Arabidopsis thaliana: one gene and its partner. The protein of the gene in region 2 interacts with the protein of the main gene of each other region in a pairwise test. Each region holds a gene or a part of one and is shown on either strand. Other genes may lie near its edges.

Region 1 (5,582 bases), 2.6 Mb from region 2:
ATAGTGTATTTATTTTTCCAGAAATAGAAAATTTATTGTAACATGGAAACATCAAAATTTAAAATGGAATAGTTGCTAAAAATACTTGGGTTCACCCTTCACCCCCTTATATTCACCTCTTCTATTTTAATCAATTAAAATCTGACATTTAACAATAATAAAAAGAATTTAATTTTATTATAAAATCTAATTTGCCACTAAAACGAAATTATGTATCGGTTTGGATTTATTAGAAAAGGTTAGGGTTTAGATTTTATGATTAAACGAGGTTAAATATCGGTTTGGGTTTAGAAAGTACGATTAGGGTTTAGATTTTACAATTAACCAATTAAATATTGGTTTAGGTTTATAAACAGATTTAGATTTTACAATTAAACGAGGTTAAATGTCGGTTTGGGTTTTGAAAATACGATTAGGGTTTAGTTTTTTCTTACGATTAAATGAGTTTAAATGAAGGTTTGGGTTTACAAAGGAGAATTAGGGTTTAGATTTTGTAATTAAACGAGATTATATATCGGTTTAGATTTATAATTATAGCTTTAATTTATTATGTAATTTAAGTAAGATTTGACATGACATGTTTTTATTGGTTAATGCAAAAGGAGGTGAATAGAAGGGTGAATAAAGCTTCGTTCAATAGTTGTGGCATTAAATGTTTTGAAGTTTTGCACATTACTTAAAGCAATAAAATGTCTATTTTAGTATCCTTCAAAATAATTACATTTGTTATAAAATAATTACATTTCTTACAAGTAGGTACTAACAAAATCAATTTTTATCTCACACTAAATTTCTTAAATACATCCGATTTTTATTTAATAAGTTAAATCATGATTGTTTTTTTTAATTACACCTAAACCGCAATTTGTAAACCGGATTAGAGATTAACTAAACTTACATGTCCAAAACACTATTAATTATGGATTGATGGAACAAGAAAGATCTAGTATATCTAATAAGAATATCACCACATTAGGTAGGAGCTGATAATACAATTTTTGTTGGAGATGCCCAACCTAGAGATAGAAAAACATTTAATCCCTCTTAAAGCCCTTATTACTATGTGCAATGCAACACATATGGTTAAAAGATATTACGACATTATAATCGGAAGTTTGAACTAACACTCATTTTATCTCGTATTATAATCTTTGTCCCTATTCTGATTTCCTCTGTAATTGAAAGTATACTATATTTCATATTAGTGTAGTTACGATGGAGCATCATCATGGGTCAAATCCAAGCGACCACAAAGGATGTAACATGCATCTTACAGCTCACAGCCTCACACTATTTCGACTACCACCGACACTATCTTTATAGATACACGTGATTCCAACGTACCAATCACTCTTTTGAATGATCATCACATTTTTTTAGAATAAAACATATCAGATCCAACACAAGTGGAACAATTAATTATTCCAAATCTCCACACCAAGTATCAACGTGAACAAAAAAAAGAATATGTAAAATAAATTAAACCGACAGATCACAAAGAAAAAGGAAAACAAGATTCCCAAAGCGAGGTAAATGCCACGTCACTTCACATAAGCCAAACTCCGAAACAGAGCCCGACAATGGCCGTTACGACATTACTTGTTCGAGTAATCATCGCTGATACGGCGCCGTTTTTATCGTCAGCCACCTCAACATCATCATCTGACGGAGCATCGGCGCTAGGTCCGTCGGCGTCAGCCTCCGCGTTCTTAGGCTTTTTCTTACTCGACTTAGGAGCTGGAGCGGACGTCTTAACGGCCTTGTAGATTTCTCTAGGCAACAACACTTTATCGATCTTGTAAACTATCAATGGCTCTTGATCCTTTAACGTCCCCATTACCTTCGCCGTCACAACGTCCGTCTCCAGCGTCACGTCTTCTCCGTCATTTTGAACGGTGAAATCAAACTTGTTGTTACCTTCCGTCGCTAACGTGTTAACGGCGCCGTTACCTGATCTAAGCATTTGTAACGACTGGTAAACCGGCATGCCGTGGTAAAGCACTAACGCAGTCTTGTTCGCCGGAGAAAGGGATTTGAATTTCGGCATGAACTTACCGACAGCGCTGTCGGAGGGACAGAACACCGTTAAGCCTCCGTCTACGGTATCTTGGAACGTTTTGTCGGCGCCGGTTGACTTCAAGATGTCGGAGAAAGCTTTGCACCCTTGTTTTTCGAGGATTGTGGTGAGGATGAGGTCGCTGGGACTCGCCGTGGGAGCTTCTGCTTCCGGCGAGGTTAAGACTTGGCTGATGTGAAGAACAGAGATGTTGTAAGGCTTTTCAAAGACGGATTTGACGTAGTGAGCTGTGAGCTTGCTATCGTCGTCTTGGACACCAAAAGCGACTTTACCGCCTTTTATATCGGTGATGTTGATGTATCCAGAAGTTCCGGTGGCGGATCCGGTGGATTGAAACATGGAGGCAGTGGAGGTGGAGCCGTCGGTGATCTGGTGAAGTTTCTTGGTGCCGAAGTAATCGACCAGGACGTGGAGAGAGAGAATGTTGCGGATTTGGTAGAGTGAGTATCCGTTAGAGAGGATGGAGGACATTGCTGAGTTATCGACGGCCAAGACGGTGATTGTTTGCCGGCGGTTGATCTCGTCGGCGAGATGAGTCGCTGAGAGATAGTGGTTGAAAGTGGAGAAATCAGGGTCTTTGGCCAAGATTCGGGTTATGTTATGTGCATTTGAGAGAGAGAGAAAGAGATGGAGCTGGAAAATGAGAACCAATGCGGTGGCTGCTCGCCGGAGATAAGCCATTTTTGGGTGGAGGATTGGGCGGCTTTGATAGAGGAATTGTGTGGTAGCATTTGGAGAGGAGTCTTATAATAATGAAAGATATATAAAATAGATTATATGAACAAAGCTGTCTCGCATATTTCCAGCGCAGCAGCAGGTAAGTGGGCTCTACATAGCTTGAGTCTGGGTCACATTTGAAAGTAAGTGTCGACGAGAGAAACACATTAGTGTTTAGGAAATATTAAGGCCCGGTTCAATATTTTATTCGGCTCTAGGTACATACGTAGACATGACCAAAATTTAACTGTAACAGTATAGTATATTTTTATTTTTACCAATTTTAGGTATAATTTAAATACCTACAAAATTTAACTTTCATCTTCGTATTTCTATAAACGGGAAAGGTTGGATCCTATTGGAAAGTAAGAGACGACGATCGTGGGAGCTCTTGGAGACTTGGTTTTGCTTTTCGGTTTCTTGAAAGGCAAGATTTTCAAGTTAGCGTCGGTTGTGTTAACCCGTGAATCAGATTTTTGGACAAAGCAAGCCAAGAAGGGTGTGAAGAGAGACATGTTTGGAGTTGTAAAACTTAAGTGCGAGGTTTTCTATTAATTTGAATCTTGGCCTAAAGTCAGGCCGGTCCAAAACTAAAGCTTGTAAAGCATAATTATAAAAAAAATTAATGACATCATTTTACAAATATTTATAGTGGTAGAGTGGTTTTTAAACAAACCACTCCGCAACTGACCCTGATATAGCAATTGAGTAAACATATTTTCTGTTTGTACTATAATCGTTAGAATCAATACATGTTTTACTCAAAAGACGATTTGCCGTTGCAAATGTTATTAACACTGCATAAAACGAAGCAAATGATAAAACGATTACAAGATATGAGTAAGCATGTGAGTTTATAAGATATAATTTGCTGCTAAATATTTTATTTCATTTTCAATTAAGTAAGAAAGTTTTGACTAAAAAATAATATTTATATCAATAAATAGTTATTCTGTCTCTGTGCCACTGTATATACATAAACTTACCCAAAACAAAATCATCATTACAAAAAAGTGTCGACCACAAGCAGAATCTTTCATTGGTCTATTACATAGATAAACAAGATTGGACTGGATCAATAGTATCAGCCTCATATATTTTCTTGGTTGTGATCATAACTACAGAATTTCACTTTTATCCTTCCTACTTCCTAGTTCCTATAGACGAGAAAGGTTGGAGCCTACGGGAAAATAAGAGACGACGATAGTAGGAGTTCTTATGGACTCGGTTTTTCTTTTGGGTTTCTTCAAAGACAAGACTTCCAAATTACTGTCGGTTGTGTTAATCCTTGAACCAGATTTTGGAACAAAGCAAGCGAAGAAGAGCGTGAAGAGAGACATCCTTGGAGGTTTAAAACTTAAGTGTGAGTTCTTAAGTTAATTTGAGCTTACTATACATGTCAGATAATGTATATATAAGGGGATGGTGAAGAAAGTCACTGAATCTTCTTTGTACACGTCTCTTTTTTGGAAAGTGACATTATAACTTGGCGGCCAAGCTTAATAAGTGAATAGTTTCGTTGTCCGTTTTAATTATGCCTTTTGACAAGTCTTCGTACGTGAAGTTCAAGGACTTTTGACTCTTTATGTAAATCATTTGGAAGAAAGAGTCCACGCGATTATATGAATCCACTGACTGAATTTATTTCTGGGCTTAAGTTGGGCCTTAACAATCCATTTTTTTAATATTTGTTAGCCCAAAATACATAATCAACCCCTGGACTCTGGAGGGATCACACATCACCGTCACTTTTCTCAGTAGAAACTAAGCTGTTCAATTTCAAACCAAGATCACCAAATTTGATTCCCAATGCTAGACAAGAACTATAGAAGCTAAGCAACATGAAGAAAAGTGTGAGAAGGAGATCATGAGAATTTTCGTTTCCTCGATATGGCTGTTCTATTTGATGAGACATGAGAAACAGATAAGCCTTGCTTGTGTGCTTCAACCATTGAATACACCTGCACTCCAAAATTTGTTCCTTCTCAACCATCACATCCAAGGATAGTCTTTTAATATGTTGAAGACGAAAAGGAGGTACCTTTCTAACAGCTGATGTCAGTCCCAAGGTAGAAAGAACATCACTGCTCACACACTTCCATGTTAGAGTGTCCTTTGCCTGACCTTTGAACAGATCTTCGGTTCCGCCTGTAACTTCTTGTTAGTTTCTCTAACTATATGTAAAAAAGAGACCTAGAAAGAAAGAGATAGATAGTGGTCAAACCTGTAAGTTGTACAACTAATAGCTCCACATAAACTTTTCGACGAATGTGAGTGAATATGTGGACGAATTCTCCGAGTTCTTCTCTTGAAACTATAGTGCATGCTTTCTTGAGTTCTACATGAAAACGAAATGCTTCCTTAAGGTAGACGTTTATTGCGTTCCTCCTTGTTGCCGAATCAGCTTCCTCATTTAATATAACAGATGGGAACTCCCAAAGACCAGCAAGCAGACCTTGTTCGGGTCTTTTTACAAGAACAAATCTACCTCCTGATTGGTTCCTCTCCAGATTATGTATCTCCAAAACACAAACGCAACAAAAGTCGTGCCTTGGCTTGGCCTTGATTACTTTTGTAGGATAATCTGTCACGGAAATCGTTCTGTTTTCCTCGGAAAGTGAAAATGCACGACATTGGCTGGAAACAGGACAAGAAGAGCAACTTGGCTTTGATACAGTGCATAGTGTAGCACCAAGCTCCATCAGAGATTGGTTGAAATCTCCAGGGCGTGAAGGATCCACTAGCTGAGCAGCTAGTTTCCTGACAAAGATAAATGATTTCTTTATCC
Region 2 (5,436 bases):
TCTTCAATTGGATCTAAGTAATGTGCTGCATATTATGATATGTTATTGTGGGGTTTTTGTTAATCACCAGGGGGACACACAGCAGAGATGTTGAGTCTCCTCTCTGTTTTGCGGAAGGATAGATTTACACCAAGGTTTTACATTGCTGCTGCTACAGATAACATGAGTCTCCAGAAAGCTCGTAGTTTTGAAGATTCTCTAGCTGAGAAGGTTTAGTTAAAAATCCTTAAATTCAATTTCGTTTGAGTTTTGTCCCTCCTCTTTGAATTTTGCTATTGCTTATTACTTATTTCTTGTGTGTTTTTTGCTTGGTATGACTGTGGCATAGCCTGCTGTTAAGGAAGCATCATCACAGTTCATGCAAATTTACCGGAGTCGTGAAGTTGGTCAGTCTTATGTGACTTCTGTTTGGACTACCATTGTTGCTATTCTTCACGCTCTGTGGCTAATGATCCGGATCAGACCACAAGTGGTATGATTTTTATCTGAATGCTTTTTAGACTTTCTTCAAGGGTTCTTTATTAAACCATTTGAATCAGGTTATTGATTAGATTTGGTTGAAGTTTTTCAGATTCTTTGCAATGGTCCTGGGACCTGTATTCCTCTGTGTGTGATCGCCTTTTTATTCAAGGTATACACACTTCGGAAATATTTTATCAAGATTCTTTGCAGTTCTTTCCTCTACATTTTGGATGACCTTGAATGGACTTGTGACCAAAAACAGAGGATGTGTTTTGTTTATTCTTAGTCATGGTTTCTCCATTACATCTAGAATTCCCATAAGTGCTTGTTTCATCTTGGGTTACAGGTGCTGGGAATTAGATGGTCATCAATCTTTTATGTTGAGAGTGTAGCAAGAGTGAAAAAGCTCTCATTAAGTGGATTGTTGCTTTACAAGTTGAGAATAGCTGATCAATTCTTTGTTCAATGGCCACAACTGCATAAGAAGTATCCTCGGGCTCACTATGTTGGGTGCCTGATGTAAGCTGATTGGAACTCTACTTACACCTAGATATATTACAAAAACTTAGAAAGCTACATAGTGTACACCTTCTCTTTATATGCAGGATTGAGTTTTAAACAATGAATTTTTGTAATCAGCTGTTTTGACTTTGTTAATGACTTAATGCTATTTCAGTGAGCTTATAATGTGATTTTGGTCATCTTATTCCAAACTAAACCAGAATCGTGCACAACATATATTTAAATAAAATATACTTCATGTTACAATGATGCACACATTTTCAGGCTGTGACTTCACTTGAGTCGCATCACAAATCTATTATGTTTATTTTTCATTGTAGGCTGCCTTCATACCAATAAAGAAAAGTAAGTTTACTTGATCAGCTCGCTTTAGTCTGTAAACTGTGTGTGCCACAATCTTTGAAGTAACAGCTTATTTTGATTGCTCACTTGACCCTTCTGCTTCTGGTCGGTCAGGGGATTCTGTTGTTGGTATTTCATTACTTTTCTTCAAGTTTGTTTCATCAAGATATTGTTGGTAGACATAGGATACGAAACCCCAAATAGCTAGAATCATAGAAATCACCTTTAAGCCGTTCATTTTGTCATGGAAAATGATGACAGCCAGGATAGGAACCACGGGGAGTCCCAAAGCGCTTATTGCATTTGAGAATAGGGAGGAAAGCTCGAAGATCAGTCCTGTGCAACCGATGGAGAATACCTGCCAGGTAACAGCTGTCCACACTAGGTTCATGACATAGGATACCTTCCCAAGTTTGTAGTTTTCCATTTCACTGCTCAAAGTTTTCCACTCGCTACTAGCAAAAAGCCCCACCACGCTAACACAACTGGCCACTAGACTCATGTAGATTATCATATTTATAACTTCTGAGAAAGTTTGCTTCTTTAAAACTTTACGAAAGGCTAGCTGTTGTAGGGATAAGAGTAGACCAAACCCAGCAGATGCACCAACGGTGCATACGAAACCTTTGACATACTCTCCTTTTGTAACTTTTTTGGAATCTGATTCCTCGTTATTAAATGCAAGGAGGGTGGAAGATATAGTGAGGAGGAAAAGAGAATTCAAAATGATAGGAGTAAGTTTTTGTGAGTTGAGTAAATAAGAGAAGAAAGCGGTGAAGGCTAACTGTGATGCACAGATCAGGGAAAGGGTAGAAACAGGTAGGTAAAGCAGTCCAATGGAATATAGGTAGCAAGCTGCTCCTACAAGAAGTCCAAGCACTATGTAAACTAATGCACGGTTCCTAAGTGAGGTTAATTTGCCATCTCTCTGAGTTGTTGTATGTGTTTTGACTGACAAGAGATGATATGGAAGTAGAATAGGAAAGCCTACAAGCTGAACTACCGTTGCTAGCCATTTGCTGTTTCCTCCATTTTCATAGTATAGTCTGCCCAGAATTGTAGCAACTGATTGGCCTGAAATGACAAAGAATGTATAGATAGCAACCCGGAGCCACCGTTTGTATGTATTAGAGTGAGATAGTTTTGTTTGGCTGCCACTGACCGAACTTCTTTCGTCTTGATCTGTTGGAATTGGTTCTTTTCCCTGCTGAACTGGTGAGTGATGGAAAATAACGCAAGAAATTAGATTATGACTTATTTGTTGTCACACATGAAAAATATTGATATATTGAATAATAAGATACCATAACCATATTTTTCGTCTTTTATTTGAAGATAAAAGACCAGTAGGTTCTCGAGGAACTGGTTTATGCTTACTCACCAATGACTTGTACTTCTTGATCCCCCTTCATAGTAGATGTGGAATCCCCCTCCTTCGAGATGGACAAGGAGGTACTAACAATGTTCTGAATAGATTCTAAGTATTAGGTATCTTATTATCAAATTGCTTGGTTACTAGTGCTACCAAGTGATTGCTTCTGTGATATGGGTGAGACACGCTGTAGCTATATATTTAGAGATTAGGAATCGGTCATCGTCTATGTTTTGATTGTACTTGTCCCCACATTCAGTAAATGCCAACTGTATATCTTCTCTTGCTGTGAATTTAATTTCTTTTGTCACTATTGTTGATCTAGAGATGAGTCGAGTCAAATCAAGAAGGAAATGATGTGTAGCCATTAGTCACTCAGTATTTTATACCTGTGTGACACATCAGCCATATGCATAGACACAAACTTAACACGCATGCACACAAGTTGTAAGATTGTATGACCGTCAGGATGTCTATTTTGAAAGTTATTCGTCTTCTTTAATTTCTTTGGCTTGTTCCGTCTGACTATCTTTCTCTTATGAGATCAGGCATGTGGATTAGAAACACATTTATGGAGATGATGTCTCGCTTCTCTTTTCAAAAGAAGACATTTGCACCACAATATTGGATGGCAGAGGAAGTCACTTTATTAACTGCTAAGATGGAGACTGCCAAATGGTATTATTTCTGGTCATTTACTTTTTGTACAAAGCTCTGTTTCACCAAGGATGTTTGGACCTGTCTGATTAATATTTCTTCTTTCTTCATTAGAAATGATTTTCTGTGTGTCCTTGTTTCACAATGTTTCAGGTAAAACTAGAAAGTGGAATAGTGCATTGAAATCTTTTTAAGTTATGGCTAAGGGTTAATTTTTATCAGGTGTCACACTCACAAAATTGACATGGTTTTTTATTAAATAAATATCTACTTTTATCAATCTGCCTACAGGTTCTTGTTACATACAGGGTTGAGTTACATTTAATCTTTAGCTGCTATGAACCCAAGTTTAAACGATGAACTTTTGTAATCAGCTGTTCTAAACTTAAGATTGTTGGTTCACTGAGATTACAATGTAATTTGGGTAATCGTAATTGAAACTAAACCAAAGTCATTCACTACTTATTTAAATGAAATCTACTTCCTGTTACAATGATGCAAAAAATTTCAAGCTGAGACTTTACATTAGTTGCATCAAAAATGTATTGTGTATTCTTCAATGTAGGATGCCTCCAGGCCGATAAGTAAAGTAAGTTTACTTAACTAGATTGATTGAGTCTGTAAACTGCGGGACAGCATCTTTCAAAATATCAGCTTATTTTGATTGCCAAGTTGACTCTTCTGCTTCTGGTGGGTCAGGGGATTCTGTTGTTGTGATTTCATGATTTTTCTTCAAGTTTTTGTCATCAAGATATTGTTGGTAGACATAGGAAGTGAAACCCCAAATAGCTAGGATCATAGAAATCACCTTTAACCCATTCATTTTGTCATGGAAAATGATTACAGCCAAGATAGGAACCACTGGGAGTCCCAAAACGCTTATTGCATTTGAGAATAGAGAGGAGAGCTCGAAGATCAGTCCTGTGCCACCGATGGAGAATACCTGCCAGGTAACAGCTGTCCACACTAGGTTCATAATGTAGGATACCTTCCCATGTTTGTAGTTATCCATTTCACTGCTCAAAGTTTTCCACTCACTGCTAGCAAAAAGCCCCACCACGCTAACACAACTGGCCACTAGACTCACGTAGATTATCATATCCATAACTTCTGAGAAATTTTGCTTCTTTAGGACTTTTAGAAAGGCTAGCTGTTGTAGGGATAAGACTAGACCATAACCAGCAGACGCAGCAACGGTGCATATGAAACCTTTGACATACTCTCCTTTTGTAACTTTTGTGGAGTCTGTCTCCTCATTATTGAATGCAAGTAGGGTGGAAGATATAGTTAGGAGGAAAAGAGAATTTAAAATGATAGGGGTAAGTTTTTGTGAGTTAAGAAAATAAGAGAAGAAAGCATTGAAGGCTAACTGAGATGCACAGATCAGGGAATAGGTAGAAACGGGTAAGTAAAGAAGTCCAATGGAGTACAGATAGCAATCTGCTCCTACAAGAAGTCCAAGCACTACGTAAACCAATACACGGTTCCTAGGTGAGGTTCTTTTTCCATCTCTATCAGTTGTTGCATGTGTTTTAAATGACAAGATATAATATGGAAGTAGCACAGGAAAGCCAACAAGTTGAACTACCGTTGCTAGCCATTTACTGTTTCCTCCGTTGTCATAGTATACTCTGCCCAAAATTGTAGCAACTGTTTGGCCTGAAATGACAAAGAATGTATATAAAGTCACCCTGAGCCACCGTTTGTATGTGTTAGAGTGAGATACTTCTGCTTGGCTGCTACTGACTGAATTTCTTTCATCTTGAACTGTTGGATTTGGTTCTTTTCCCTGCCGAACTGGTAAGTGAGTGAAAATAACGCAAAAATTAGTTTATTTGTTGTCGATCGTTTCATATATTGAATTATAAAATATCATAACCATCTTTTTTTTTTTTGAAGATGAAAGAATAGGACGTTCACCACAAACTGGTTTATGCTTACTCACCAATGATTTGTAGTTCTTGATCCGCCGTCATGGTGGATGTGGAATCACCACCTTGGAGATGGACAAGGAGGAACTAACGTATCTTATTATCAATTCTCTTGGTTGATAATGCTACCAAGTGATTGCTCCTTTGATA

Evidence for each region.
Region 1: the proteins of AT4G18220 (region 2) and FLA2 interact in a protein complementation assay, tested with the Arabidopsis thaliana proteins (one large-scale study listed by BioGRID).

What each region holds. Positions count from the first base shown.
Region 1 is NC_003075.7:7,490,052-7,495,633, forward strand, and holds FLA2 (FASCICLIN-like arabinogalactan 2), read right to left. Parts: upstream 3,030-5,582; 5' UTR 2,759-3,029; coding exon 1,547-2,758; 3' UTR 1,176-1,546; downstream 1-1,175. Other genes in the region: AT4G12731 (uncharacterized protein), read right to left, coding at 3,127-3,309; AT4G12735 (uncharacterized protein), read right to left, coding at 3,952-4,134; AT4G12740 (HhH-GPD base excision DNA repair family protein), read right to left, coding at 4,527-4,942, 5,019-5,554. UniProt on the Arabidopsis thaliana protein: May be a cell surface adhesion protein.
Region 2 is NC_003075.7:10,076,070-10,081,505, reverse strand, and holds AT4G18220 (Drug/metabolite transporter superfamily protein), read right to left. Parts: upstream 2,869-5,436; 5' UTR 2,779-2,868; coding exon of another isoform or gene 2,739-2,778; coding exon 2,708-2,738; coding exon of another isoform or gene 2,662-2,707; intron 2,539-2,661; coding exon 1,397-2,538; 3' UTR 1,144-1,396; downstream 1-1,143. Other genes in the region: AT4G18230 (UDP-N-acetylglucosamine transferase subunit ALG14-like protein), read left to right, coding at 71-210, 329-472, 572-631, 809-985; PUP10 (purine permease 10), read right to left, coding at 4,011-5,152, 5,301-5,331.